Drosophila melanogaster: one gene and its partners. The protein of the gene in region 1 purifies or fractionates together with the protein of each later gene. This does not show direct contact. Each region holds a gene or a part of one and is shown on either strand. Other genes may lie near its edges.

Evidence for each region.
Region 2: the proteins of Lpt (region 1) and Utx purify together in Drosophila melanogaster (affinity purification with western blotting; one study listed by BioGRID). This does not show direct contact.
Region 3: the proteins of Lpt (region 1) and usp purify together in Drosophila melanogaster (affinity purification with western blotting, with the first as the bait; one study listed by BioGRID). This does not show direct contact.
Region 4: the proteins of Lpt (region 1) and trr purify together in Drosophila melanogaster (affinity purification with western blotting, with the first as the bait; 2 studies listed by BioGRID). This does not show direct contact.

What each region holds. Positions count from the first base shown.
Region 1 is NT_033778.4:23,896,442-23,904,911, reverse strand, and holds Lpt (lost PHDs of trr), read right to left. Parts: upstream 6,352-8,470; 5' UTR 6,243-6,351; coding exon 5,648-6,242; intron 5,589-5,647; coding exon 5,466-5,588; intron 5,402-5,465; coding exon 5,232-5,401; intron 5,169-5,231; coding exon 4,978-5,168; intron 4,921-4,977; coding exon 2,957-4,920; intron 2,893-2,956; coding exon 2,748-2,892; intron 2,681-2,747; coding exon 2,382-2,680; intron 2,321-2,381; coding exon 2,012-2,320; intron 1,954-2,011; coding exon 1,301-1,953; 3' UTR 1,251-1,300; downstream 1-1,250. Other genes in the region: CG13562 (uncharacterized protein), read right to left, coding at 1-249, 307-482, 535-607, 671-877, 942-1,083; CG5339 (uncharacterized protein), read left to right, coding at 6,765-6,857, 6,913-7,197, 7,255-7,794; CG17658 (uncharacterized protein), read right to left, coding at 8,213-8,470.
Region 2 is NT_033779.5:10,272,243-10,280,977, reverse strand, and holds Utx (Utx histone demethylase), read left to right. Parts: upstream 1-2,166; 5' UTR 2,167-2,279; coding exon 2,280-2,329; intron 2,330-2,381; coding exon 2,382-2,728; intron 2,729-3,052; coding exon 3,053-3,164; intron 3,165-3,426; exon of another isoform or gene 3,427-3,583; intron 3,584-3,816; exon of another isoform or gene 3,817-4,166; intron 4,167-4,410; coding exon 4,411-4,586; intron 4,587-4,865; coding exon 4,866-4,994; intron 4,995-5,055; coding exon 5,056-5,281; intron 5,282-5,348; coding exon 5,349-5,529; intron 5,530-5,590; coding exon 5,591-5,851; intron 5,852-5,911; coding exon 5,912-6,044; intron 6,045-6,109; coding exon 6,110-6,813; intron 6,814-6,872; coding exon 6,873-7,012; intron 7,013-7,095; coding exon 7,096-7,515; intron 7,516-7,571; coding exon 7,572-7,781; intron 7,782-7,855; coding exon 7,856-7,982; intron 7,983-8,071; coding exon 8,072-8,266; 3' UTR 8,267-8,351; downstream 8,352-8,735. Other genes in the region: CG34043 (uncharacterized protein), read left to right, coding at 148-597, 658-925, 1,292-1,345, 1,408-1,458, 1,565-1,618, 1,720-1,859.
Region 3 is NC_004354.4:2,037,985-2,045,109, forward strand, and holds usp (ultraspiracle), read right to left. Parts: upstream 4,328-7,125; 5' UTR 4,063-4,327; exon of another isoform or gene 3,884-4,062; intron 3,661-3,883; 5' UTR 3,477-3,660; intron 3,403-3,476; 5' UTR 2,930-3,402; coding exon 1,403-2,929; 3' UTR 814-1,402; downstream 1-813. Other genes in the region: CG4325 (uncharacterized protein), read right to left, coding at 5,075-5,429, 5,622-5,743. UniProt on the Drosophila melanogaster protein: Receptor for ecdysone. May be an important modulator of insect metamorphosis. Plays an important part in embryonic and post-embryonic development. Binds to ecdysone response elements (ECRES) such as in the promoter region of s15 chorion gene.
Region 4 is NC_004354.4:1,886,215-1,892,242, reverse strand, and holds the start of trr (trithorax-related), read left to right. Parts: upstream 1-2,292; 5' UTR 2,293-2,467; coding exon 2,468-6,028. Other genes in the region: arm (armadillo), read left to right, coding at 124-413; mRpL16 (mitochondrial ribosomal protein L16), read right to left, coding at 1,014-1,630, 1,700-1,765, 1,848-1,896. UniProt on the Drosophila melanogaster protein: Histone methyltransferase that acts as a coactivator for the ecdysone receptor during development. Specifically trimethylates 'Lys-4' of histone H3, a specific tag for epigenetic transcriptional activation.

The DNA of each region.
Region 1 (8,470 bases):
AGTTCACGGCGTAGAAGGGATAGTCGAACGTGTTGATGTATATGTCGACGCAGAGACCATGGCTGCCCAGGTGAAGCTGACTGGCCACCGAGGGCTGCTTGAGGCCGCAGCTGCCGAGCATTATGTTGCGGTGGCAGGAGTAGACGAAGGTGCCCTTGTCGCGGCTCGAGTGGAAGCACTGCACATGCTTGCCGGCCTTGGAGTGGTCGACTGCAATGGGATCGAACCCGGGTCCGGCCATATCGCACGCTGCAGTTCAATACAATAATTACTGGGTGTGGCTAAGATAACGCTCAAGATACCGACTGTCTATGCTCTCGATAATGTGGTGTGGCCGTAGGGATCTTCCCACCGCCGAAGCCAGTTGTCCGCCGAAGCTGAAGCCAAACATATAGCCTCGTTTTGGATCGAATCCCTGCCTGAACAGTGTTAGGATAATGGACGATATGGCGCCGGTGAGGGTGTCAAAGTTTGTGTACAGCCTTTAAAAGTCGGATAATGAGAATTTGGGGTCAGACTACTACTACTACCCACCGCATGTACGAGGAACTGGCGACCACACTGTAGTCTATGCATATCACGCATCCGCCGCGGTAGTAACTGAGTCCTAAAATGCATATTTCGAGTAGCTTTCAACTTTGGCATTGAAAAAAATGCAAAAAATGCTCACTTTCAATAAGCGACAGCGCCCACTCGTCCGAACAACTTTGGATCCATCCATGCAGAACTATGGCAAACTTGTCCGTGGGCGAGCAACCCGAGCCACTGAGATCGTAGGCATCGTCGTAGGCCGAAGTCTCCATGGTTTTGGTGTTGTTCTTGTAGAACATCACCTTCATGGTCTTCTGGGCATCATATTTGATTCTCTGCTGGTGGGCTTCATAAACAAAAACATCGACATGATACGCTCGTCCAGCAGAAACTTTCTCCCACATCCATACCCAAAGTGTCATTTTGCGTTGCCTTTGCTGCTTGCTTTTGCCTCAAAATGGCATATTTAAGATTCAGTTTCGAGTGCGTTCCATCAATTAAGAGAACACAGCAAACAATTAGGATTGAGTGGAAACTACTGAACAACTGCATTATCTGGTCATCTGGATGGTTAGCTGAAAATAAAAAGTAACAACAGTGCAAACCGCGTAGAAAACCAGTTTTCTGTGCCGAAGAGATACAAATTCGATATGGTATACGGCAATCGATGAAGAATGGGGTTTGGCGCCAAAAGAGGCTGCATTCAAAAGTGGCGCTTTCTATTAAATATTGCATTTTCTTTATTTCAATTTAAACGATTCCGCTTCTCCTATGTAGAGCACTTTTCATTGTCATCAAAATCTAGGGAGTTGAGAACATTGACGTCCAGTTCTGGGTCCGCGTACTCCAGGATATTGAAGTCGTCTCCCATTTCGGAAGTGAGCGACTTGAGTAGGTCGTCGTCGTCGCCCTCGCCGAGTCCTCCCAGAAGGTCGCTGAATCCGACATTCTCCAACTCCACGGCGGAAGAGGTTGCCTCCTGCGGCTCGCCCAACTTCACATCCTGCTCCAAGGACCTGCCTTCAGATGGCTGAGATTTTCCACTTATGCTCAGCATGGGATTGTTCTGCGTAATGGGTGTGTTCTGCATCATTCCCAGCCGCATTACATCGTTGCCCAAGAACAAGTCCGAGTTGGCCCCCATGAGCATCGGCTCCGTGCTGTTCTTCTGCAGCAGGTTCCTGAGCTTCTTGTCGCCAATGGGTTCCGTGCCGTACACCGCCGTGTTCAACTCCAGCCTATTGTCCACGGTGGTCATTTTCAAGGTGCTGGCTGCTGTCGTGTGCACCTGAGTCCTTTGCATCGTGGCCTTAATCACCAGATTATCGTTAACGTTCGGCATCACGTGATGCGGATTGGGATTATTGGACGCTGCCTGCGCCGAGCCACCAACATAGTTGCCCATATCGTAGGCGTTTCCATCTAGACGAAAAAACAAGGGTTAGAGCAACTAAAACAAGTCTTGAGCTGCAGCACTTACTGTACGTGACAAACATGTTCGGCTGGTCTTCCTTCAGCTTGGGCGGTTGTTTCCACACTCTTCCCATTTCCTCCTGCTTCTGTGGTTTCGGTGGCATAGGTATTTTGTTCTGTTCCCGCCTCTGCCGCAGTGCTGAGCGATTGTCCTTGGCCTTCTGCAAGAACGGCGCCTTCTTCTCGTTGCACAGCGAGCGCCACCTCTTCAGAATCTGCTTGCAGCGGTCGTTCCAAATCGGAAACAACTCCTTCAGGTTGGGATGCTCAGTATTGGCATACAGCACGGCCGAAATGGTGGCCATGAGCCCAAGATCTGCAAAACAAATGGGGTGATGAGCATTTGAATCCTACACTATTTAAATGCACCCTCATACCCTCATCCTTGCGCATTTTCTCCGCCGTCTTTTGAGTGCCAGCGTTCAGGGTTTCCGTCACGGGCTCCACAACCTTCTGCTCCTCCTCTGGTCTCTTTTCGGTTTGCAAAACGACTTGGCTCATTATAGTTTGCATATTCTGCTTATTGGCATTTTGTGGTGCCTGCTGACGGAACTGAAGCTGCTGGGCGGGATTAACCAAAGTATTTCCGCCCAAATATAGCTGATTGTGAAACTTCTGTTCCTGTGGCAACTGGTTGGGGACCATGAAACTGTCGACCAGGACCGCAGGTGATTCCCTTTGAGAAAGAAAAAAGAACAAATTAATAAGCTTAGAATAGACTGGCATATGGACATGAGGCTCACCGCATTGGTTTTTCAATGACTTCAGCTGATGGAACCGTACTAACAGAGTTAGCCATGTCCAGTTCCGGAACATTTGGTGAAGCCAACGCATCCAAAGGATGCCGGTTAGCAAAGACAGTGTTCGAAATCTCCGCTTGCAAGGGATCTGCAAAAATGGTAAACGATACAACCTGGGAATAAAGTGGTCAGTGGGTTGGTTAAACATTTACCAAAAACATTAGACACTGGCGTCGTTCCGTTTTTGTTCTGGATTCCCATGGGCATTTGCTGAATGAAAACAGTTTTGTTCTCAGTTTTCAACTCAGCTTTAACTTTCTTCACGGTCTTCGCTGGACTCTTGTTCACCGCCAGTGTGTCCTGGTTGGCAGGACTCTTGCCCTCGGGCCGCGTGAAGTAAACCTTCATGGACGCATCAATTTCGTCAGAGGAATCTGTATCGGCCATGACAAGCTCTCCACCTTCCAGCAGAGGTTTTCCGAAGAAGGCCTCTTGCAAGTACACGGGATAGGCTTCAATCAGCTTGTTCTTCTGCTTCTTTCGTATGATTTTCTTCTTTTTGTCCATGGTCATAAGGGAATTTATTTGGTCAACGGCCGTCGTCTCCTCGCTGTCCTTCTTGAGACCTCGGTTGCGAACGGAGAATCCACCAATGCCCAGCTTCTGCAGATTGCGCTGTCGCTTCTTGCGTAATATGTTCACTCCCTCGTCGTTAATGGAGATGGTGAAACCCTCGGGAATAGCGTTCTCCGTCCCATCCCAGACCATGCCGTCTTTGTACTTTTCCAGCGCTTCCTCGGCGGCGGCCTCCAATTGTCCATCCTTGCCATTGCCGAGGGCTTGTCGCATTTTGCGCTTGCGTTTGATCTCCGTGGACAATGACTTGATCATGCCCAATCCGCTTTCGCTCAGGCACACTCCGTCAATCCAGTGGAGCGCTTCTGGAGCAGACTCGGGCATATCGCCGGATAAGGTAGGATGATTTCGCTCGGCACCACTCTTAGAATCGAAAGACGGCCCGGAGGAGGCTGTGATGTGCACAAATGGTTTGCTGCCCTGGGGAGTTATGGCCAGCGAATCCTCGTTACCAAACTTGGCATCCGCCAGGGAGTTAGTGCTCCTCGTCGAGCAGCGGCACTTGAAACACTTGTACACATTGTTGTCGTAGTGGTCAATGGTCAGCTGGGCATTGACAGAGTCGCAGTGGAAGTGCGCCCATAGCTCGCAGTGCTCGCACTGGATGATCATCTCGCCGTTGCTGTACGAGACTTTGCAGACGGGACACGAGGATTGGCTGGTGCAGGATGGGCACTCGAGCATGTTGGAGTCCCCGAACTCGCTCTTCTCGGTGGGATTGCGACCGCATTTCTGGCACAGTGTACAGAACGAGCACTTCCAGTTGCCCGTGGGCACGGTTTCCAGCGGAGGATTCACACAGTAAATGTGATACGAAATGTCGCACTCGTCGCACAGGAGCAGGCGCGCCTCGTCGTTCTTCTTGCCACATCCCTCGCACACTGTGCAGTCCAGGCATCGCCAACCCTTCTGCAGGATGCCTCGCGAAGGCTTCACGCCGGCGCAGTACGGATGATAGCATTGGCCGCACTGTGCGCAGGTGATCATCACGGAATCGCTCTCAATGCCCAGCGAGCCGCACATTACGCAGATGTCTTGCGCTTGGATAAACTTATCCCGCGCCGAGCAGAGCAGCAGCTTTTTGTCGCTGGTCAGATCTGTTTCCATGCTGCGACTCAGGCAGCGATCGCTCGAGATGGTGGGCAGCGCAAGCTGGCGCCCCTTGCCTCGGGTGCTGCGTTTCTTGTTGATCTGCGACATCACACCCATGCGGTGTAGGACGAACTTTCCGCTTCTACCGCGAACACTCGTAAGGCACACTTTTTTCTTGCCGGTGGGTAGCTTGTGGAGCTCATCGCTCGATGGATCCATTGTGGGTTTGCCCTCCAGCGGGTCAAGTTCGATTTCCTTGAGGCTCAGTTGCTCCGACGACGAATCCATGGCGGACAGCACGATCGAGTCGATTGTCTGTTGGGATGATCCCGGGCCCGACGAATTACTCTTGCAATTCGGACACACGTAGTCGTAATCTGGGTTTTGCTCCTTCTTCTTGTGGTAGGCCGTTAAATCCGCCTCTTCGTCACACGTACTGTGCACAAATCTGAAACGAATCCATATAATAAGCAAGACTAATCAGGCAGAAGCGAGTGAAACGTACTTGTTGCACCAGCTGCACTTGACCATTTCCTTGTGCGATGCTGCCCTGTACGCTTTCTGGCAAATCGGGCAGGAAAAGCCCTTGTTCCGCTGCTGATAGCACGAATCGCAGATTGTGTAGTGGCTATGCCAGCGGGAGGAGCTGCCGCCGCCAGGAGTTCTTGAACCACAATCCGTACAGACGCGACAGCGCTAGAAGGAACATAAATACCATAAGTATTGGATAACACTTAATATCCGTCAATATCTGCTTACATTGCACTTCCAGCCATATTTGGGGATGGCTGAGATAACTGGTCGCAAGCAGGAGGCGTGGTAAGTCTTCTGGCATTGCTCACACTTAACGTACTTGGTGTCGTTCGAGTCTTGCTGCCTGCAAATCTGGCATTTTGTGCAACGGGCGCAGTTCCACCCAGAACGCGTATCTATGGAAGCATTAAACATGTAAACATGTAAACCAATGGTACGATGGTACTTGACAGTAGTTACCCGGCAAATTGGCCAGACCAATGCAGGTCGAATGAAAGTGGTCTCCGCAGGTACTACACATGATCAGCTTGGACAGATCCCCCAGCGAGGAGCAGGACAGACACTCCACATTATTGTCGCTGCCTGTAAGTCATTTGTTTCCATTAGTTTCTGTGAGAGTTTGCTGCCCAAGAATCACTTACATATCACAGGCACCTGGCTCAAATGTTCCGTGCAGAAGACCGTAAAGCTCTCGAGGATCAGAAGGCACCCAGCAGCGGCGGCACACGGCCAATGGTGCACCTGGCGGCAGTTCATCTTGCAGTTGATGGAGGCCCCGTAGCGTCCACAAAAGTTGCACTTTTGCTCCAGGAACTCCGCGAAGTGGGTGGCAAAGTACGCGCCATCTGCATCGCTTATCTGACTTTTGCGCAGCGACCACATGATGCACATGCGGTGCACGTAGACGAACCCCTCGTCAAGAAATTCGGCGGGATGCACGACGTCCGGCTGTCCAATCTTGTCCAGCTCGTAGTGACAATCGCCCGAACTAGAAGCGGCCTGCTTAGGCCCGTATAACAGCCTGGATCCGTCCTCCCTCAGCCGATCCGTCGGATATTTATCCTTGATCTCGGCGGGCGCGGGCGCCTTCAGTTGTAGAATCTCGCCCTGGCCCAAGGCACTCTTCTCGCCGAGATTGCATAAACAGCACACCTTGCCCGGAAACTTCTCCGGGAAGTACGGCAGGTCGTCGGCCACCGCCTTCTCCTCCATGCTCACAACAACGTTCGTGCTCATCGCGGATTGATGCGTTTCATTAAAATAACAAAAAATAGCCGCCGCTTATTTTGTATACATTACTCGACAGCTAAATAAAATGTCAACGTGCATCGCGCCCCAATGTTATCGAACAGGCGTCAATGTTGTCGAGAACGATGTGCGTTCGTTTGCAGAGCGAGTAGTACAATTATTAGATATAAATATAAAAGTCTTCCTTATATTACAAAGTATTTATACTTTTAAATGGCAAATCAAATATAACATCATATTTTAATTTTTTTTATGCGGCTACAAATTAATTAATTAATTTCTGAAATTATACATTATAAATAATAATACACTTACATTAGGCTGTCACGCCTACATATCGATATACCTTTACCAATCGCATTCAGCTGATCAAAGTGCAACTCTGCAATCCAGCCCTGGAAAAATACCGTACTCCAGTTCTTCAAACTGGAAAAATGATGGCACAACTAAGTTAAACACACAGAAGTAGAAAATGTAAATAAAAGCACAATTATAGACTATTCTGTTAGCATGGCTGTGTATCGTCCCCGCGGCACCCTGGCCAGGGTAATCCACGCCAAATTCCACAACGACAACTCTCTGGAGGACATAGACACTCGGAAGGTAACTCGAAATCCCGAAACAATATGATTTTTCCTAAATTCTGGATGCATTTCAGTGGTACTGCCTGAACCACGAGCTGCCGCCGAGATTCCAGTCCAAGTTCGTGCCGCTCGAGCCGGATGCCACCACCGTGAGCTGGCTGGAGCGCACCAAGGCGCTTTCGGCAAACATCTGGACCCACTTGTGGCACGCCCTGGCTCGCTCAATCCTGCAGTTCTTCATGACCCAGACGGACATCAACGGGTTCCTGAAGCGCGGCTCCATGTTCATACTGTCCGAGGAACAGTTTCGCAAGCTGCTAGTAGCAGGCGGCTTTCAGCCTGCCAGCGGTCAAGAACCTGTAAGATGAGTAAAAGCCTTTAGTCTTGACCACTACTCATCTGCCATCATATCGTAGGTCACGTTGCTGGATATCGGAGCCGGGGACGGTGAGATTTCGCTGCGCGTGGCCAACACCGTTTCCGAGCTGAGCGGAAGTGCCGGGCTGCGGGTCTTCGCCACCGAGGCCAGTTGGACCATGCGCGATCGGCTGAAGAAGCTGAACTTCAACGTAATCACCGAGATAGACGGTCTGCAGAACCTGGAATTGATTCTGTGCCTCAACGTATTGGACCGCTGCTTCGATTCATTCAAGCTGCTCGAGGACATTCACCTGGCACTAGCTCCCAATGGTCGAGCAGTTGTGGCCTTAGTACTTCCCTACATGCACTACGTGGAGACGAATACCTCGCATCTGCCGCTGCGCCCGCTGCTGGAGAACAACGGGCGACAGGCGTCGTTCGAGGAGGAGGCGGCCAGGTTTATGGAGCTGCTGGAGAACTGTGGCTACCGCGTGGAGGCATGGACCAAGGCGCCGTACTTGTGCGAGGGTGATCTCCACCAGTCGTTCTATTGGTTAATCGATTTAATTGTTGTCATTTCCAAGAAGACATTCTAGATCAAAGCTTCCACATCCTAAAAAGAACCCTTCTGAAGTTATTGTAACCGTTTTCCTCGTAGAGTTAAGTGGCTGCATTGAGAAACTGAGCATTTATACTTATTACAAATGTAGGCTATCAACTAGTTAAACAATTTATTCTTAAAGAATTACCAAAAATGTAAATGGATAAACAAACATGTTTAAATTAAAGGGCGACATTCAAAGCCGCGTTCGAAACTGAATACTGTTCTCGATATTATCAACTAATTGTAGTTATTCTACAGTCTTGGGTAGTTTTAATGCATCTAACTTGATACTTGTGGCAGTAATCAGGTAACTTAGAATATGTATTTGACGAGCAGCTGTTTAATAACAAATGTCAGTATTGTCGAAGGTATTATGTGTACTAAACTAAGCCTTATATAGTCTTTGGTAGTCATTGGCATTTTTTTTTGCTTGTGAAAATAACCTCGAGGTAGTTATTGGCATACACAATCCTCTCGGTATCTTCTGGTGCTGGATTGTGCAGTGGCAATATTTCACGATAGGGATTGCCCATTATATTGTAGGCTCTCTCGATGGCAATCTTGCTCTTCTCAGCGGACAATGTGATGGCCGCGAAATCGGAAATTGCCTGAGCCCTTGAAATCGAAGTGTAGCAAATGGGAACACCAAAAGATCGAATAACACTTGA
Region 2 (8,735 bases), on another chromosome or scaffold:
GCGGGTTCCGCTGTACTTAAGCAAATTATATAAAAAGATAAGCTATATCTCTCGGCATCTGTGCATCTGAGGTTGCTTACTATCTTAAACGTGTAAGGAAACCGTGAAGACAGTCAAGATTCTCCCGCCTGCGTAGCCAAAGATACTATGATTTCGGTAGCTCTGATTATCTTGTGCTTTTTTCCGTTCGTGCAAAATGAGTACTTTCGTCCTTCGTACCAAGTCCTTGTGCGCAAAAGGAATACTCAAGGAGATTTGATCGACGGCCATTGCTATGGCAATATCATTCAGAGTCGCTTGGTTTTAACATCAGCATCGTGTTTATTGAGTGATAACGATTTCGTAAATGGTAGGGAATTGTTAAATGCTGATGAGTTGGCGGTATCATTCAAAGGCGAAGATTTGAACGAGTTGATATACCTCGTTGGTGGCATAGACGTATATCCGCAGTTCAATTTCTCATCGTTGGACAATGATATAGCGATCCTAAGTCTCAGTACGCAACTTCCGCTTTCCGAGCGAAACGATATTGAATGGGTTTTAGTCGCTGACTATGATATTACCGATTTTCCATTGGAGGAGGGTGTGGAATCTTACGTAAAAACATATCCTTTTATGTGAAAAACGATTTTATTAATATTAAAATTACTACCACAGGTTTGGAAAAATGCGGATGGAGAAAACATATATCCCGGTTATGGTGTTATTCATGAAAGTAATTTAGTTGGAATCATTTCCTATGGCTTGCCATTGAAAAATAAACGGGAATCTAATCTTGAAGTTCGGCGCCCAAATAGGTTTACGCAATTAAATCCATATTTAAGTTGGATATATACAATAATACAGAATACAGAGATTGCGGACATTCAAAATAACAACTACAGTGTATCTCTACCTTATCGTCAAAGAAAAATCGCAGAAATAGGTAATGTAAACCGAAAGTTATTTGCTATATTTATTTTGTTGTCAAAAGTAGTTTATCGTTTGCGGATTAAGAGAAACAAATAGTTTCGTAGAAACTTTCCTCTGCTTTCCCGAGAAAGATTAACTGCATTTTGATAAGAATATTTCTATGATAAAACTAAAAAGATCCACTTTTAGCCGGAATTTTAAGGTCTAAAATTTATAACGCTTTTCTTTTGGGAAGAAGGGTTATCTTAACACATTTATCAAAAATCAAATAAATATCAAAGGTACTTTACTAAAATTTTTATAAATCCATCAGGAATTTTATTTTTCATTGTTATCTAATTACATATAATTAATTAGTACATTTTTAAATATTTTTCAGTGGAGGAATTCGTTGAGCCTGATGCGGTGTATTTTCCAGACCCAGCAAACCCCAGTAAGTCTAATTTATTCAGTTTTATTTTCTAAAATAACTTTAATTTGAATATTTAATTTCAGTTAAAGATGAGATTGAAACTGAGGTAGAAGATTTGACGGACTCAGAAACTGGTAAGAAAATGAATACGGCTGTTCTACTTCGTAATTACTTTTACAAAATTTTTAAATTTTTTTGTTTTTCCTTTGCTATACTTATTTACCGAGTAATTGTTTTTAGATGCTGTAAACGTGGAAAGCGTCTCAGAAGATTTTTTAAACACGGAGGACCCTTGTAAGTTAATTCATTGTTCTATTGATATTTAAATATTACATTGATTGTTTGAATAATATAGTTTTAATTAAAAACTACCTAAAATTTTGTTTATCTTTCAGTTAATGAAAACATTGAAAGTGAGAAGGAATTCCTAAAAAACCGAGCAAACACATCTAAGGCCAAAGGAGTTTGTGCATGGATATTCACATTTAATTTTCTTCTAGCGATAACTCGCACAATAAATTTCCATTTTTTTTAACTAAATTTTCAATTTATTTTTTGATCTTCAATAAGATCAGTTTCCATAACTTAAATGTATATTTTATCTGAAAAGTATCAAAAGAACTGCATTAAGATTCAAATTTTTAAAACATAAATTGTAAACAGCATCTGTATTGATTTGGTGTATAATAAATTGTTATCAGCTAACGCGAAAATAAAAATTATTTGGTCACAGTTTCCCACAATTTTCCAATCGTTCCAGTTCCGTTATCGATTGCGCAGTGAGAAACTAACTTCAAAAAAGGCGTGACACGTCGACGATAGAAAAATGTATCATCTCTAAGAATATTTTAGTGTCATCTCTAAACTAAAAATATAAATAAAAAAATATTTTAAAAACTACGCTGTATTTTGCCCACGCTTCTAAAACCCAGTAGATTTAACAGTTGGTTTAAAAATGGGGCAACTAACTTTCGAAGATGATTGCCTGATCCGCGAACTGGATAGGTACGATTAATGCCACCCGCTCGAATCTTGTTTAATAATATTTACGTTTCAGTCGATACTACGGCTTTTTGGATTTGTCCAATTCGAAAAATGCGGAATTAAGGAATCTCGTTCAGCAGACCATCACAAACTTACAAAACTACATTGCAAATGGTCAGGTTCACGAATCAAAGAACAGCAGTGATAATAAAAATGCTATACAAAAGTTTGAGCCATCAACTCAAGCAGGTGAACATATGGAAAACACATCTTCCCGAAACAATGACGACACCAAACCTTTCGAGCAAGATGCCAAGGAAAAGGTGTCCATCATTGAAGAAAAACACCAGGATGAACACTACGTTAACGCTCTTTGCAAACTTGGCCACCTGCATCTTCTTCTTGGCGAATACTCCGAAGGTAAATACATAAATCCAGATGCACATGTCCAGATACAATCAGTGCACTCTGCAAATGACATCTATAGGATATATAGGATGCTTGTAGTCCTCACAAATTCATATATTGTGAATATCTGGTTCTTTTACCTTACATAATGTGTCAGGTGGAACAATTGTTTCCAAACTCGGGAACATAGTTGTAGAATGCCGCATTAATGACACACTTTAACATTAAATACTGCTAAACTGCAGAGTACGACGCATAAATAACATAACACTTCAATCCATCACGAGAGATCCTGAAAGAATTGAGTTGTTTTTTAATATCTTATTCTTTTTGTAGCTTTATCAGCGTACCAAAAGTATTTAAGATTCCGAGAAAACAATTACTGGACAAATCATGCATTTATCTATGGAATAGGCGTTGCTTATTTTAAACTTCGGTGCTTTAAATGGTAAGTTTACTTATCTTTTTAATATTTTAACTGCTTAAATATATTTGTTGTATTTAAGAAATATCTTTATGCTACGTTCAAAAACAATTAAGTTATATTTAATAATTAAAACCCATTACATGCGATTTTGATATGAATCGTTTAAACGTAGATGCATGTGCAGTGGAAGCACATTTATTTATCAATTGTAATCATCGATGGCTCTTATCGATGTATACGTTTCGCTTTCATATCGTTCCCATTTAATCACGATATCGCGCCTGTCACATCCCTATTGTATTGATATTAAATTGTTTACTAAATAGATTCTACACGAAACAACACTGCCACTAATATTATATATATATTTGTAAACAATTCACAACGAATTAAAATTAAGACTGCCGAGATTTTTTCGAATAAAAAAAGTGCGTTTACTGGTTAGTTTTGAATCTTTTCATAGTTGTCTGGGTTCTAAAGAAAAAAAAAACAAATGGATGCTGTAAACATTAACACTTACAATAATAATAATTAAACCGATGTAATATTGCCAAAAATTAAAATGAATATATGTGTTTTCATTGTATTCCTTTGTTTGTTTTTGCAAATTCGCTGTTATAAAAATACATAAATTCTCGTTACATGCATGCATGTATGTACACGGTGCGTGTGTGTGCGTGTGTCTGTGTACAAAATGCAATGAGTGCCCCCCTTTAAGGTCGTTAGTTGAATTGCGGGGTAAAATGTGTTCTTTGTTTAATTTTATTAATTTCGAAAGCTAACATTTAGGCAGACCGCGTCCGACGCAAATAATCAATGATTCTCAGTGCAATTCTATCTGATAAAAAGCCATGAAACGGTCTGTCTCGTTTTTTTGAGTGCACGCAGACATGTCTGCCGACACGACGGCTGCAAGTTCTATTGTTATTTATAAACAAAACCTGCATTTTGCAGGCATATTTTAGGAGATTAACATTTAAGTTTACTGTTGTGCACTTATCATCGGAGTTCTAGTTTAATTAAGTATGTTACTTGAATTTGTTTGTTCAAATGGTTATTTGTATGTATGTATGTACATACGCGTGCATGTGTGTACGTGACTGCATGCACATAAGTATGTATGCACTTATGTAAACACCGCTCACTGTAAACAATTACTATAAATTAAATATAAAACAAAATTTAATAAATTAAAATAATACATTCAAGTTATAACAAATAATTCAGAACAACGAATAAAAAAATTAATTTACTTACTTTTTTCCAGGGCCATCAAATCGTTTCAGGAGCTTTTATACCTAAGTCCCAATTTTACATGTGCAAATGAAGTTCATTTGCGTCTAGGTCTTATGCTAAAACACTGCGGGGAGTTCCATATTGCCCTAAAACATTTACAATTGGCGCTGCTTTATACATATCCTTCGACCTTTTCGGAACTTCAGGGTAAGATCTATTGAATAATTATAAACTTTTGCATATAAGTTTCATGTGTAATTAAAACTGTGATCTGAAAAGGTTTTTCTGTTCTTCAGTTATTTACTTATCATCTTAAAATGTTATCTTATTATTGATATATAAACAACTTATATGCAAAAAGTCCTCATACATTGAATTATCAAGTAATACGATGAAGGCAAACTTCTATGATTCATTCAGAATTTAAATATTTTGCAGTACGTTCACCCCGTGTCTTAAACTTTATTCATTATTAATACTTTGCAGTCAAATTTCAAATCGCGCATTTGTACGAAGTTCAAAACAAGCACAAGGCGGCAAAGGATGGCTACGAATTTCTTCTAAATGAGAAAAACATCTCCTTGGAGCTCAAAGCAGATGTTTATCGACAATTAGGTAAGTTAAAAAGTTATATTTTAAGCTGGTAGAGACATAACTTTTTATTGAATCCTTATAGGATGGATGTACCATTGCGTAGAATGCCTAGGCGAAAAAAAGGAACGTGAAGCAAACGCATTAAATTTTCTACAAAAATCAATCGAAGCTGACCCAAAGAGTGGACAATCATTATATTTACTAGGAAGGTGTTACGCCGGCATCAATAAGGTTCATGATGCTTTCCTAGCATATCGCAACTCGGTGGAAAAAAGTGAGGGGAATGCTGATACTTGGTGCTCAATCGGGTAAAATAACAATGAATGTGTTTAGCTTGGCCCCTATCTTATTTGTATTCTACACATGCACTTCTAGCGTCTTATATCAGCAACAAAATCAACCCACGGATGCCCTTCAAGCCTACATATGTGCTGTGCAACTGGATAAAGACCATAAAGCCGCGTGGACCAACCTGGGTATACTTTATGAGAGCTGTGGTCAATTACGAGATGCCTATGCTTGCTACTTAAATGCAACCAAACAAATATCATTCCAGGTAAATTTATATATGCAATTGTAGCCATTTCCAATACCTAACACACTTGTTTTGCTTGAAGAAGTCTTCGTTAATTCGAAAAAAACAAGCAATACGTATGAAAAAGGACACAATTGGACTGTCGAAAGGCCTGTCTCAGAGAATCACTTTCCTGGAGGGCCAGCTCAGTCAAGCACCATTGCCAAGTATTACATCCAAGCGCCGCCAGCTGTGTTCAATCGAAGAAGCTTGGAACCTGCCAATATCATTAGAAATGAACTCTCGCCAACAACAAACAGCGCAGATGCTACCAAGACAGGTCACAAAGCAAAGTCCAGTACAGGTGAATTCCTTAATCCTAAACCAATCAGTGGGCAATCAACTAAATCATGTTTTTAAACAGGGACCGCCACCACCTTATCCGCATAGCCAACTCAGCCAAAGTCCCATACCTTCGAAACGTATTAAGGAAGATGGCACAAGCCAACAAGAAGTAACACAAAACAACAGTCAGACATCAGCGCAAAATCTAATAAGTAAGTGACCAATTTAAATAGTATATATCTTAAAGTATTAAATCACTTTTTAACACTCCAAACAGACATTTCGGAATCTTTAAACCAGCGCAACTTCAACGCCATGCCGGAGAGCAACAAAAGTTCGGAGCAAAGTGTTCTTGACACCTTCGACGACATCTCGAATGATATTTATAAACAGAATGAGAGCATCAAGCTCGAACGTTTGAGCCAGGATGCACTGAGTAACAATGAGGACTCGAGGCATGATTTTATTGGCGGTGACAACGCCGACATCTCGACCACGTTCAAAATACAAATGGACTCGAAGCAGTTGATGGTAGCTGTGAAGCTGCTGCCGATTGATGAACCGCCCGTGCACTGTACCATTTTGCAAGTGAATGCGCCGCCGCCATCTCCGCCCGATTGCCCACCGCAGAAACTGACGCGAGATCAACTCCTGCCTCCCACACCCTCTGTTCATTTAGAAAATAAGAAGCACGCGTTCAGCCCACAGTTGCAGGAGTTTTGCCTGAAACATCCGATTGCCGTTGTACGCGGCTTAGCGGGCGTCTTGAAGCTAGATCTCGGTCTCTTTTCGACCAAAACGTTGGTGGAAGCCAACCCGGACCATAGTGTTGAGGTTCGGACACAAGTGCACCAGTCTCCCGATGAAAATTGGGACACTTCGCAGGGTAAGCGCGTCTGGGCCTGCATTTCCCATCGGTCTCACACAACCATAGCCAAATATGCCCAATATCAGGCATCCAGTTTTCAAGACAGCTTGAAGGTAATGTTCGTTGGGTTGGTTCCTCTTTAACATGAATACAAGTTTACTTTATCGTGTAGCTTATTTTACCGCAGGATGAAAGCGATAAAGGTTTCCCCGGCTCGCAAGCAATGTCGGATTCAGACTCAAAGGACTCGGTATCCAATTCGAACATTGTTCTCAAACGTAAAAAACACAAAATAAACAGCAAAATGTTGAGGTAATAGAAACTCCAAACCATTTATGTCTGCATTACGAACTTTATGAACATAAATTAAATGCTTATTTCGCTTTTTTTTTTAGGTTCGGGACCAACGTGGACCTCTCCGATGAAAAGAAATGGAAACCACAATTAACAGAGCTACAAAAACTGCCAGCTTTTGCGCGAGTTATATCCGCTGCCAATATGCTATCACACGTGGGCCACGTCATTTTGGGCATGAACACCGTTCAGCTGTACATGAAGGTGCCCGGAAGTAGGACGCCTGGCCACCAAGAGAACAACAACTTCTGCTCAATCAACATCAACATCGGTCCTGGCGACTGTGAATGGTTTGCCGTCCCTGACGCCTACTGGGGCGGAGTTCACAATCTTTGCGAGAAGAACAACATTAGCTATCTGCACGGCTCGTGGTGGCCCGTCCTGGAGGATTTATACAAGGAGAATATACCAGTTTATAGATTTATACAAAAGCCCGGTGACTTGGTTTGGGTGAATGCCGGGTAAGCACTGAATATGAAAGGAAGGATGATGTATTAACAATCAAACCTACTTTCAGATGCGTCCATTGGGTTCAGTCGATCGGTTGGTGCAACAACATTGCGTGGAATGTTGGACCCTTGACTGCCCGTCAGTATTCTCTTGCCATCGAGCGATATGAGTGGAATAAAGTGCAGGCCTTCAAGAGCATTGTGCCGATGGTGCATTTAAGCTGGAATCTTGCAAGGAATATTAAAGTGTCTGATACCAAACTTTTCGAGCTGATAAAGTGAGTTAGCAAATGATAGGAATCACCATTATGCAGATACTATAGGGCATACATATGTAATTTGTAATTTTCAGAATGTGTTTGCTGCAAACGTTGAAAAACGTATTGCACATACAAGAGTATGTCAAATCGAAAGGTGTGGAAATACGTTTCAATGGACGCGGAAAGAACGAAGCATCCCATTACTGCGGACAATGCGAGGTATTTAGCGTAGTATTATTAACATATTTATACAGTTTCCAAAGGTGATATGAATGCAGTTTATTTAATCATTTGTGCACTCTTTGCAGGTTGAGGTTTTCAATGTGCTGTTCATCAAGGAGCAGGAGAAACGACATGTGGTCCACTGCCTATCGTGCGCGCTGAAGCTATCTCCGTCGCTCCAGGGAATCGTTTGCCTGGAGGAGTATCGTCTGTCTGAGCTGCAGCGCGTGTACGATTCGTTTACTTTACACAGAACCCAAGGACTAGCATACACTCAGTAGTTGTAATACGAGGAATCATTTTAAGTAATGCAGATTTAATATATGTATATTTTACAACGTACAATATACTCTCTATTGTTTTGATAAAACATAACGGTACGAATATATAGAGATGGGATTTTTCGAATAAAGCCATCAGAGCAGTTTTTTCGGCTATTATGTTTGATAGTCGAAAAAACTGGAGCCCACTTGAGTAGCGAAACTTACCTTATGATGACAATTTTATTATGACTTCAAATATTTAGACCCATCTTTTATAGTTTAATTTAAAAAAAAAAACTTTAAATTTATCCAAAGTTTAGAATGCGTTTTAATTATATATATGAATAAATTTAATTTATAATCTTTCGCAATGACACTGAAATTAAAATCCTTCTTTTTATTGAATTGGCTGTTATTACTTTAGTACCTAAATAAGTTACAGTGTAGAGAGCAACGATAACTGCTGTAAACACGATAAATCAATTGG
Region 3 (7,125 bases), on another chromosome or scaffold:
TATACAGATAAGATACAACGATATAGAAAGAGATAGAGCCTCAATTTGGCTATTTATAGAACATAATGTGCGTCGTCAGCGGCGAGTTTTGTTCTTTTTTCAAAAACAATATCTATTCTTAGTCGCTGCTTGTGCGTTAATACCATATTTTTGTAAATACATACTAACATACATTCCCGCTGAGACATAAATTTTATAAAAATTGACCAAATGCCATCTGAGAGGCCGCAACATCAAGGTGAGGAGTGGGGACCATCAGGCGATGGTCCACAAACCAAAAATCAATGCCTAGGGGACGCGAACAAGGCGTACAGTGCGGTTCGAAAGCGAAAAGCGATCCTTTCATAATCACAATAGAAGGGATTTCTAGTTGGTTAACATTTTACACATTATAAGTACAAGATCGTGAAATCGTTGGGATCATCTTTTGAATGAAATGAATTAAATTTAGACTGGCTATTTTCGAAGAGTTTCCGCAGTGAACTTTATTTATTACCTCCACCTAATTATATCACAGATATATTAAAAAAAAAAAGAAAGCCACCCAAGGGGCCGGCAGAATAACTAATTTAACTAGTAATACAAAACTTGTTAGGCGGAACAGAACATAGTATGATTTATAATAATAAAACTGAAATATTGAAACATCCGCGCAAATAGGCATGGATGTATATACATTTCCGCCTTCGAGAAAGTCACTCGATTTCTTCTTACAGTCCTGAAACGCACCGCTTATATACGCAAATAAAGCCATATATTTGTGTGGACAATGGGATTAATCGCAGATCCGCAGATAAAACGACCATATATCTTGTTATGCAGTTTATATTTTTTATACATAGATATATTTTGTTGGTTTTCGTCGGTGATTTTTGTATCTCGCATCTAATTGATAACGTTTTGGGTAAATTTATGTTAAAAAGTAATTACAATTGATTTAGAACGGGGCCAGCACCGCAGATATGCGCCTGCTGACATATATATTTATGCTGAATTTGTATGTTTACATACGTCTGTAGATCATAACTATGCATTAATTTTAACCGTTATTTTAATATCTTTACTCGTTTAGCTTTAGTTTAACTTTTACTTTTACTTTGCTTGTGTGCATTTTCTCGTTCGTGTTTTGTGTTCTTTTCAAGTTTTGGATTTTGTTTGTTTTTCGTTTACTGGGACATAAACGTCGAGGAGGCTAATCTTCATCTTAAGGAAAACATTTTCTATATCAATAATAATAATAATATTAGGTAATAAAAAAAAAATAAACAATTACATACACATTTTGCGTAATATTAGGGGGCTTTTGTAGGGTATAAGGGATAGAGAGGAGAAATGCAAACAAACGCAATCACAATGAAACATTTTTCGGATGGAGAACGGGGGAGACTTTAGAGTCGGGACCCTACTCCAGTTTCATCGCCAGGCCGGGTGGCGGCGGCGCCTCCAGCTGCTCGAGAAAGAGCTCCTCCAGCGGCCGGTCGCTGGTAATGCGGAAGAGGAACAGGTGATCCTGGCACTTCAGGCTGATCGATCGCAAAGCGGGCAGACGCAGCAGCAGTTGCGCAAAGCGTCCATCGTCGCCCGGATGTTCCAGGCGGCAGTGCTCGTCCAGGCAAGCGTACACCTTCTCGCGGCACATCTCGATCTCCGCCCGGCTCTTGATCCCGCGTATGTCCGGGTTGTACAGTATGATGGCCTTCAAGCAGGACAGCTCGCGTCGGTCGAGATTCAGCCGCTTCATCTTTACACTCAGCTCCGACAATATGCGGTCGAAGATGGCTGACACACCGGCTTTGATCGCACTGTTGCGATGGTACGAGAAGCTCTGGTTGAGGAACAGCTGCTGGGGCTGAAGGCCCGGTGATCGTCGCTCAAAGGAGCCATCGTGGCCTAGTCCACCGCCCCCGCCGCCGGCACCGCCGTCATCCAGCGAAACGATGCTGCACCAGGCCACGTTCGCAATGAGCAGCTCGATCCAAGCGGCTTTCAGCAGAATCACCTGGTCGTCCAGCGGCACCTGGGCAAAGTGCGGCATCATGCGCGCGTATTCGACCATCTGGAAGAGCTGTTTGTTGACCACTTGGCACAGGGCCGACACGGCACCCTTGTAGTCCGGCTGGACTGTGGAATAGGGACCAACGCGCAGGAACGTCAGTGCACGATCGCCGCATTGGGTCTCCGCTCGCTGCTCGGCCTCTATGATGCGCTCGATCGAGAAATCCCTGGACACGCTATTGGTCATGAAGTCATCAGAACCGTTGCCGCTGCCCATTCCGCCAGAAACGCCGCCTCCTCCTCCTCCGCCTTGAGAGCTGGATCCGCCTACCGAACCTGGACCGCTACTGCCGCCTCCGCTGGCGCTGAGCCTACCCGCCGCATTGCGGGCGCCGCGTTGACGCTCCTCCTGGACCGCTTCGCGCTTCATGCCGCAGGTTAGGCACTTCTGGTAGCGGCAGTACTGGCAGCGGTTCCTCTGCCGCTTGTCTATGATGCAGTTGCGGTTCTCCCTGCAAGCGTATGTGAGATCCTTGCGCACTGTGCGTTTAAAGAAGCCCTTGCAGCCCTCACAGCTGTACACGCCGTAGTGCTTGCCACTGGCCCGATCCCCGCAAATAGAGCAGAGGTGCTTGCTGCCGCTCAGCGGATGGTTAGGCGGATACTGCTGCTGGACTGCAGCGGCGGCAGAGCCTCCAGCCGAATTGGGCGCCTGCGCCATTTGGGCATCTCCAGCGCTGTTGTTGTTGGAGCTGGCGGAGTTGGAGCCGGGCAGCACGTGGACCATGGACATGGCCTGCATGAAGGGCACGGGACTCTCGGCCTTGGGCGAAAAGCTGCTGTTGTTGCTGTCGTTCAGCTGCGAGATGTCCGGCTTGACCTCCTCCTTGATGTGGCTCAGCCGAAAGCTGGCGTCCTGGTCGCAGTTGTCCATCCTGGGCTTGTGATGTGGTGCTGGGTATATTGGAGGAACTGGGGGCAGCGCCTCCTCCGCCTACCGGTTTCTTCTTGCTCGTTCTCTTCGTGTGTATGTGGTGTGTCTTGGCTCGCTTTCGCCTCTCTGTTGGGGTTTCACTTTGCCAACGCCACCGTGTCCGTCCGTCCGCTATTGGTCCGTTGGGCCAAGTGGAGCAGGTTGCAGTTTCGTTGTTGGTGGGGTCGTTGCTGCATTTACATAATCTTGAGCCGATGGAGCAGCGCACTTTATTCGCTCGCCTCCAAACAATTGCGCTTTTTACCAACAAACAAAGAATGCCAGACTTTCTGACTAATGAATAAATACCTTTTTTCGCGTCGACATTTTTTCTCAACAAAGACAATCTCACCACAGCGACGCAACTCACCAACGTAGGGATGGACTGTGACACAGGTTGCGTCGTCACGAGTCACAGTCACGACTGTTAAACACTGTATAAAATTAACAACGGCGATGGTATTACCTTAAGTCATATGGTATATAACGCATCTATAAAATTACATACTCCTCTTTTTAATTAATGCACGACATAAGTACATATATCGGTCTCCCAATTGAAGCACGGATTCGTGACTGGGCGCAATCGCATCTCTAATTCACCACAAAGTGGACAGGGCTGTTTTCCCACTCACAGAAACAGTTTTAAGTGGGCGTTAATGACCCAATTAAAGCGCTAATGCCCATCGCACCTGCCGCAAAAATAAGTGTTTTTACTTTGATAACCAATGCGCAATCAATCAATTAATTAATTTAGTCGAAAACCAGAAAACGGGAGTAGCGACAGCCCTGGCGGCGCCATTGCAAAACTCACCGCACCTACGGCGCATGCAACCCTGAGTCAGTCTGGCTCCCCTCCTCACCGCCTTGCAAACCACACAGTGCACAAATAATTTAGCGCCGCTGCAATTATGCAGAATAGAAATGCAAAATGGAGACGTGAATGTGCGCCAATTTCACCGCTGCCGGCGGCAACCTCGGCCTCAAATCGCAAACGCCGTCGCCGAGAATCGAGCGGTTAGGCTGCTGAACCGTGAATCCCAAGACCAAACGGAACCAGAATTGGGCGAAATGCAAATGGAAGTGCAACTTACTTGCAGCCAGTGGCTTTTGATGCGCCGCAAGGTGACGGTTGTTTATTTACTTTTTTCCTTGGCTATCAGTTATCAGTGCTCGCGAGCACACACACACACAGGCACGTCACTGACACGACAACACCACACGACGCTGATTTAATTTGTTGCAATCTCTATTGTAATTGTAGTAATTGAGTCCATCCCATCATCACAAAGAGACGCGACGCGGTAATTGGCATTCGCAAGAAGAAGCATTTCGCGAAACAACAGCTGACAGCGTGGTGAGAAAGCGATTGCGGGGGGCGAAGAACTGGTTTGTCTGTGGTGAGTATACTGTCGCGGTGAGTTGCCTTGGTTCGGTAAAAAACAATGGCACATTATAGGCTGTTTCCACTTCGCTTAATGGTCAGAAAATCTGAAAATTAATCCGTCATGGATATTTATGTATTTTATATATTTATGCGATAGTTAGACCGCAGTAAATTTCTAAAAAATGAATTTCCGCGATGACCAAGAAGCAGGGATTCAGTAATTCAAGAGCACCCTAACATCTGCCTTAAAATTCGATACCGGTTTAGAACAAAAATGGGAGATTCAAAATTTATATAGAAAAAAATTTGCTTAACACTATCAAATTAAGAAGCTTATTTTAAAACAGTTTAAGGGAATGGAAATAGAGTTTTCACATCAAAATTGACATTCAGGACATATATTCTTAATATTTATTTGATTATTGGTATACAAAAAATACACTAATATGTGATATTTTCTATCAGTTTAATTTTCTGATATCGCAATTTGGGGCCTCAGCCCTAAACAATTTATTTCTATTTGGGTCTATTATCTTGTCAAACCCTTTAGTTGCTAACCCTGTACCTACCGCTTCCTTTATAATGAAATGTATCGAGTTCTTTTGTTTAGCTCAGCCTTATTACGTTTTGCCTGTCGGTTTCGCAAATATTCGGTTTTGATTGGTTTTCAGGCGAATAGTACGATAAGCAAATGCGACTCGTTTGTTTGTTTACGGCTTTTAATCAACATCCGAATCCGAACATTCATGTAGTTTGCTGAGTTCAGCATTGAGGACAGTAAGGGCTCCGATCCGCTGGTTAAGATATTCGATCTCTTCTCGGTACACGCCCGTCTCGTAAAGTAGATTCTCGTACTCCCTCATAATTCCAATATAATCGTCACTGCTGCTGTTGTCGTTACTGTTGTTGTTGTTGCTGCTGCAGCTGCTGCTGCTGCTGCTGTGACCTTGGCTCCGATTATGGCCGCCCCAACTGCCACCCTGAGCCGATGCACTTTCCGGAAACTCCTCAAAGTCCAGATAAAGCTGAAAGTAGGCGGCATCCTGGCTGCGGCAGATAGGGCAAGTCCTTGATCTGCAAAGCAGACGGAATCCGCGTATAAGACAAAACGTTTGAGCTCGGCGATAAGATTTGGGGCACTGCCACTGATTTAAATCACTTTTGTATCATTTTCATTTCTGATTGGTGCATAAATTAGAATATTATATCAGTGGCACATTTCATTTTCGTTATAGCTCTCAAGTCCTTAGGATCACTTTTACTTACTGCTTTCTCCAGTGGTCTAGGCAGTCCTCGTGGAACGCGTGTCCGCAGCTGCCGGCTTGTATATTGTCCGAGGTGCGAAACCGCTCCGAGCAGATCGTGCAGATGACGTTGTTACGGCCCATTCCGCTCCGGTTGACTTATACCTAGGTCGATTCGATTCGCTCCGATCCAATCAGGTTCGATCTCCCTGTGCCGTATTGTTGCTCGGCCGGTGACAGGGGACTGAATGAATGCAAGTCGCTGAATCGAGCGTTTTGCTGATAAGCGTCCAGGCAGCCACAGTACACTCCACTCGGTCCTCCTCTTGTCGTCACTCGTCGGCCCTCTCGAGCACTCCCCTGCACTGCCGCACTCCAGTGCCAGCCCACCTTAATAACCCGCCCCACAAATGTGGGAATTTGAGCCGCTAAATGGGGGCAACGATGGCCTACGCCCAGCTAAAACCATGTGAGATAAAGCTCCGTAACAAGATTCGAACATTTAATGATCCGATAATCCAGAAACCTAAAGTTCATTTAAACTATCAGCTTGGCAAACTTTCAGCTCCGCAGTTTGAGAACAAAGAGCACGTCATTTCAAAATATGATTAGCCCCGTATTTCTTGCTTTAAAAACTGCAAAGTGCAACATAAGCATAATTTTGTTGGAGATTTAAGCAACCACCAATTTTAAACATCATTAATAAGTGCATTTGTATTTATGTAAACAATTATATTTTTATTTATCTTCATATTCGATTTGCTTTTATGTTCTTTCAAATGGTCGTGATGGGACTAACAATAGGTTCATTTACACAGGCCTACGTTGGAATGGAATGTTTGTGCTGAGAGTAGTGGATAAACAATTAAGGAATGACTTCGGTTCCAAGTAGAATTACAGTCGTGCAGAGCCACGATCTGGTGTCTTTAAGGGGTAGAAGTTAGCATATAAGGTAGAAAGAAAAGGGGTTAATACTAAGCGTGAGCGACCATAAATATTTACGAACTAAACTATTACTAAGTAGTGTAACATGTGTATGGATTTTGGGGGCTTATTAAAAATCCAGGCTTAGGCTTATGCAATATAGGGCGGAATAAGAATATTAGGGCGAAAAGTAGAGGGGCACTCAAAAGTAAAATGGTTTGATTATAATCAAAATATTCTAGCGATCAGTATAGTTGGGTAAAAATTACAATTTGGTATACGATTTACAGTTTATGTTTAGTGTACAATTAACTTTGAAATTAGCAATAAAACGGAAACTAAAGGTAATCGATGGCACAATTTTAACGCATTCTCTGTGCTATTTGGCGAATTCTTGGAATAAACTAATTTGTATAGAAAAATTTCTTACGATATGGAACTACAACGCCATATAGGCTTGAAGTTTCTTGAAAAATTATATGCTTTTCATGCAAGGGGAAGAACTTACGACATTCGCCACCCATTTACTATATCCCGATCTACAATTCCTGGCAATTTTGTGTTCATAACGAAGGTAGCACAAGGACTACATGTTTTTTGTT
Region 4 (6,028 bases), on another chromosome or scaffold:
TCCACTTTTGCAGGACTTCAAGGTGTCGCACCATCTGCCAGTTGACGGCTGGCGGAGATTGTAAATCCTCTCCACTAATCACAATATTCCCTATCATTCTTTGCCCATCTCGTTTGTTCACAGGATATGATACTCTACCAATAGATTCGATGCAGGGTCTGGAGATCAGCAGCCCAGTGGGCGGCGGCGGTGCTGGCGGTGCTCCCGGCAATGGTGGAGCTGTAGGCGGAGCTAGCGGCGGCGGTGGTAACATCGGCGCCATTCCGCCTAGCGGCGCACCAACTTCGCCCTATTCCATGGACATGGACGTTGGCGAGATTGATGCCGGTGCATTGAACTTTGACTTGGACGCCATGCCGACGCCACCCAATGACAACAACAACCTGGCTGCCTGGTACGATACCGATTGTTAGACAAGCCGAGCTAAGGGTAAGGGTCGAGTATCCATTCGACCCCATAACATAAAACACACGAATTCCCATCCCTGCACAATAGCCCTCTTCCACCGGCTTTGATTCCATCCCGGATCCCGGAATCGCGATCACCGAAACTTGACTAGATCAACGAAGGTGTGGATTTTACTTGACAAATACGAGGAGCTGCGGCAGGTCAAAGTTCTGCTTCCAGAACTGAAGTCCGTGGGAGAAGGCTATTTGCTCACACACCATACCCCGCGACAAAGCATACACACACGCATACATGCATAATATTATACATTTATTATAATGCGAACGAAACGGCAAGAAAAACATATTATATGATGCATTACATATTACCCACGTAAACGAAATGGAAAATTAAACAAATGTTTGCAATAGAACTCGTACATTTCCCTTCATATGGCGTTTTTCTTATTTGCTCCACAATTGGGTGCCGCAGAGTCACGGCTTGGAACAACGAGCCCTAAGTTCGAAGTTCGAACCTACTTTAAGATATTTCCAGTTTTCAAAAGTACTTGAAACAGTTTCGTAACAGATTAACGAAGGATGGCTTTATTAATTGAAGCTATACATCTACAGGTGCTTGCCGAACCACTTGTGGTCCACGGGCGAGAGCCAACGGTGGCAGCCGCTGAGGTTGTTCTGGATCACGTACTTCATGGTAAAGGGGTTCTCATTCTGGCGGGTCTGTTCCTCCTCGGCGACGCGCTGTTCGTCGAGCATCTCCTGGGAAACGACGGTGGCCTGGAAGGGCAGCTGGTTGGCCACCTGCTGCAGGAACTGCTTGACCTCAACGAACTCGCACTTGCCGGCTATCTCGACAATGACGCGACCGGCCTTGATGGGGGTCACGTAGTGGTCGATGGCTCCCTTTCCGCCGCCCATCCGTTGGCCCTGGCCCTTCTTAGTGATCGGCTGCCAGGGTGCGGGAACGCGCCATGTGGCGAACATAGTGTTGACGTTCATCTTGCGTCCGATGGTCAAACGCATCATTTCGTAGTGGCCCCAGCGCAGGCGCCCTCCGCCAGTGGCCACGATTGCGTACTGCTTATGGAGCAGCGTGTTGTGCACCATCTCCGGACCGCGCATGTATCGCAGGCGCTTCTGCATCTTTGGCGGACGGATGTTTGGCGGCAGCTGGGGCTGGCGCTCAATGACCCTCAGCTTGGGTCTCTCCGGCTGCTCCACATCTGGGGGTTCCCACATTCATTCATTTATTGCTCTAAATTCATTGTGCACATTTAAATGCAACTACTTACTCTGGTATTTAATAGGCGGAGCGAAATACTTAAGACCGGCTGTGTTGACAATTGCCATGTTGCCCGCTGCAAAGAAAAGTTTAAGTGGTTTGTTGCAAACTGTTATCGGATTGGATGTGGCTAGGCAGGAAGCGCCACTGCAACTTACACGCAAGGCTTTGCTTAAAGAGCTGGGAGACTAACTTTAATGAGAGCATGGTGAGTTTATGTCAAAATATATTACTTATTTATAAAATTGTATTGTGCAAAGATGTGTTGCATCAACGGCCACCGTTGCCAGATCGAGCTAATAAATGTGGTGCTAAAAACATATATCGATAGACCACCGATTGGTCGAGTGAGCTGACGGCCCTGTCCAGACTATGGTTTATTCTTGCAGTTGAAAATGTGCCATATTGCACGTGGAACACAATAATTATGTTATGTATTAAAAACTTCTGAAGTTAACGAAAAATGATTGCTGTACAAACGTTATTCGATTGCAACCGCCATGGCGATATGTTGAAATGGGATGGGAAAAGTGGTGGGTTTCTGAGTGGAAAACCAGGGATGGGTAAGAACGTTTCAGGGTAATGGTCGTTTTACCATCTGGTAACACTGCTCTGCATACACGAAAATAAAATTTTTTTGACTAATCGTGCATGTTTTCGCTCGGTAAAAAAAAAAGCAGGCCGCGCGAGCCCTAGCTAGCTAGACCGCCGCCCTTCCCGTCCCACGAAACGCAGCGCATCGCATCCGGCGTTCCGCGTTTCCACTTGTGTGTTTGTTATGAATATACCGAAGGTGACAACATCGCTTGGTGCCGCCGAAAAGGCGAAACCCGAAAGAGTAGCATCCGTGGCCGCCGCTGCCTTCAATGCGGTCAGCCTGCAGAAGCGCAGCGGCGACGACACCGCCACTCCGGCGGAGGATCCCACGCGCAAGAAGGCCAAGACGGAGCTGCTTCTCGGAACTGGAACGGCAGCGCCCAGTTTGCCCGCCAAAGCGTCGAGCACCGCGCCGCAGCAGCTCCTCTACCAGCGGAGTGGACAGCAGGCTAAGGCGCAGGTAAAAGCTGCGTCGGAGCCGCAGGATGTCGAGACGGCGGACGGCGTCTGGGACGCCCGCGATCAGCAGATCATAGTGTGCAACTTCGGCTCCGGCACTGAGATGGGTGCCATCAAGGCGGAGGACGCTGACAAGCAGAGTGAGTACAGAATCAGCACTCCAAGGAACAGTCAATCTAACCCTTTGCTACACCGAAACACAGCCTTTACCAGCTTTACCAAAAAGGAGGGTGCCTCATCGTCGGCCTCGTCATCATCGTCAACCGCGTCCGTCATTTCCATCGAGCCCAGTGGCTCGGGGCAGGATCATGCTGAAAACTCCGGCAAATCTGAGGACCTCGACTACGTACTGATGCCAGCCAGCGGCGCGGATAGCTCTACATCTGTGGGTAACTCCACCGGAACGGGAACACCAGCAGGAACGCCTATTGGAGCTACTACCTCCACCATTATTTTAAACGCTAACAACGGAACGGCAGGAGTCAGTGGAGCCGGCACCACTACAATCCTCACACAGAAATCCGGTCACACGAACTACAACATCTTCAATACCACGGCCACTGGTAGCCAAACGCCCACTACAACATTGTTAAACCGGGTGAATCTTCACCCCAAGATGAAAACCCAGCTGATGGTTAACGCCAAGAAGCTGTCGGAAGTAACGCAGACCACGGCGAAAGTGTCGATTGGCAACAAGACTATATCGGTGCCGCTGCTCAAGCCGCTGATGAGCGCTAGTGGAGCGGCCACAGCCGGAGGAGCCACGATTGTAGAGAGCAAGCAACTGCTGCAGCCGGGCGGTCAGGTGACTACCGTAATGAGTGCTGCGCAGCAAAGCGGTGGTCAGCAGGTCCACCCGCACGTCCATTCTCATGCACATCACAACTTTACCAAACTTATCAAACGCGGGCCAAAAAATAGCGGCACCATTGTCTCGTTTTCGGGGCTACAGATCAAGCCGGCGAACACCAAAATTGTGGCCACCAAGGTGGTGAGCAAAAAGATGCTGCAACTTCAGCAGCACCAACAACAGATCCAACAGCAGCAGCAGCTTCAGCAGCTGCAGGTGACCAGTGGTGGAGGCCTGGCTCCGCCCACAGGCAGCATAGTGACTATCACCACCACCAACCCCAGCCAAACGTACGCAATGGTTCAGGATTCCGCAACTGTGGGACCTGCGGCCCATTCGGAAGACGATGCGCCAGCGCCTCGAAAGATTACAGCCTACTCGGAGAACCTTCAAAAAATTCTCAACAAGAGCAAGTCCCAGGAATCGACTGGAGGCCCGGAGGAGTTCACCAACATCAACAGCGTGGTGATTAAGCCGCTCGACAAGAATACACTCAATTGTCCACCCAGCTTTAACATCTTTAAGCAGCAGCAGCACTCACAGGCTGCTCAAAGCCAATCAATCTCCGCGGTAGGCAGTGGAGCAGGCACACCCGTGACGTTTACCATGGCTTCGGGGAATGCCTCAGATCTGGCCACCACCTCCACCGTTTCCGTTTCGGCGGGGACCATCTGCATAAACAGTCCGATGATGGGCACGCGGCCAATAATCTCCATTCAGAACAAGAACATATCCCTGGTGCTGTCCAAGACGACCATGGCCCAGCAAAAACCGAAGATGATAACTACAACCACGTTGTCCAGTCAGGCGGCGCTGCAGATGCATCATGCTTTGATTCAGGATTCTAGTGCAGACAAGGCGGGATCTTCTGCAAACTCCGGATCAGCTACCTCGGGAGCTTCAATGCAGCTGAAACTAACGACCGCCAATACGCCCACCAAACTCAGCGTTAGTCTGGCTCCGGACGTAGTCAAGCTGGAAGAAGTTGGCAGCGAATCTAAAGCAAAGCTACTGGTCAAACAGGAGGCGGTTGTGAAGGATAGCACTGGTACTCCGACCAGTGAGGAGCGGGCTGAGGAGATCGGCACGCCGGAGAAGCGTTTGAACGCCAATGCCACAATGACGGCTATTAACCAGGTTCAAAATCAGTCCGCCAATCAAATTCAAATGGCCACATCTACCTCAACTGCCTCGAATCCCAGCACACCCAATCCTACAGTGAACGCCACACCTATGAACAACCAACGCTCGGCAGCGGAGGATAATGCACTTCTAAAGCAACTGCTCCAAAACAACAGCAGCAGTCATAGCCTCAACCAGATAAGCATCACTTCGGCTCACGTTGGTTCCGCCTCAGCTTCGGCACCTCTTTCCGCCCGCAAGGTTATCAACGTACGGGCGCCCAGCATGGGGAAGGTCAGAAGTTTGGAGGATCAACTGGCACGTCCGGTGATTCCTCCGGTGCCCACTGCCACGCAGGCGGCAGGTAGTAGTAGTAGCAGTGGATCTGTGGCCACGTCCACCACCACCACAACAGTAGCTAGCGGAGGAAGCAGCCAACAGGTAGCCACCGCCTCAGCGACGGCTCTACCTGTTAGTGCGGTCGCAATTACCACACCAGGAGTGGGAGGGGAGGCAAAGCTGGAGCAGAAATCCGATCAGCCAGCAGCAATTATGCAGAATCAGAGCCAAAACCAGGCGCCTCCACCACCACCGCCACCACAGCAGCAGCAGCAGCAGCAACTACACCAGCCGCAGCAGCTGCAACCGTCACCCCACCAAGTCAAGCAGACTGTGCAGATTGTGTCGAAGGAGACGTCGTTCATCTCAGGACCCGTTGCTGCTAAAACACTAGTGACGGAAGCCACTTCGAAGCCGGCTGAACTACTACCTCCTCCGCCTTACGAAATGGCCACTGCTCCTATATCGAACGTCACCATATCCATATCCACCAAACAAGCGGCTCCGAAGGAACTGCAGATGAAGCCCAAGGCGGTAGCTATGTCACTACCCATGGAGCAGGGCGACGAATCGCTGCCAGAGCAAGCGGAGCCGCCGCTTCATTCGGAACAGGGAGCTACTGCAGCGGGAGTTGCACCTCACTCCGGAGGTCCCCTTGTGTCTGCGCAATGGACCAATAACCATTTAGAAGGAGGTGTAGCCACCACAAAGATACCGTTCAAGCCTGGAGAGCCTCAAAAACGCAAGCTCCCCATGCACCCACAACTGGACGAAAAGCAGATCCAGCAACAGGCAGAGATTCCCATAAGCACCTCCCTACCAACAACTCCGACTGGACAAGGTACTCCCGACAAAGTACAGCTGATCTCAGCGATTGCCACTTATGTAAAGAAATCCGGTGTCCCGAACGAGGCACAACCCATCCAGAACCAGAGCCAGGGCCAGGTGCAGATGCAGGCGCAAATGCAGGCG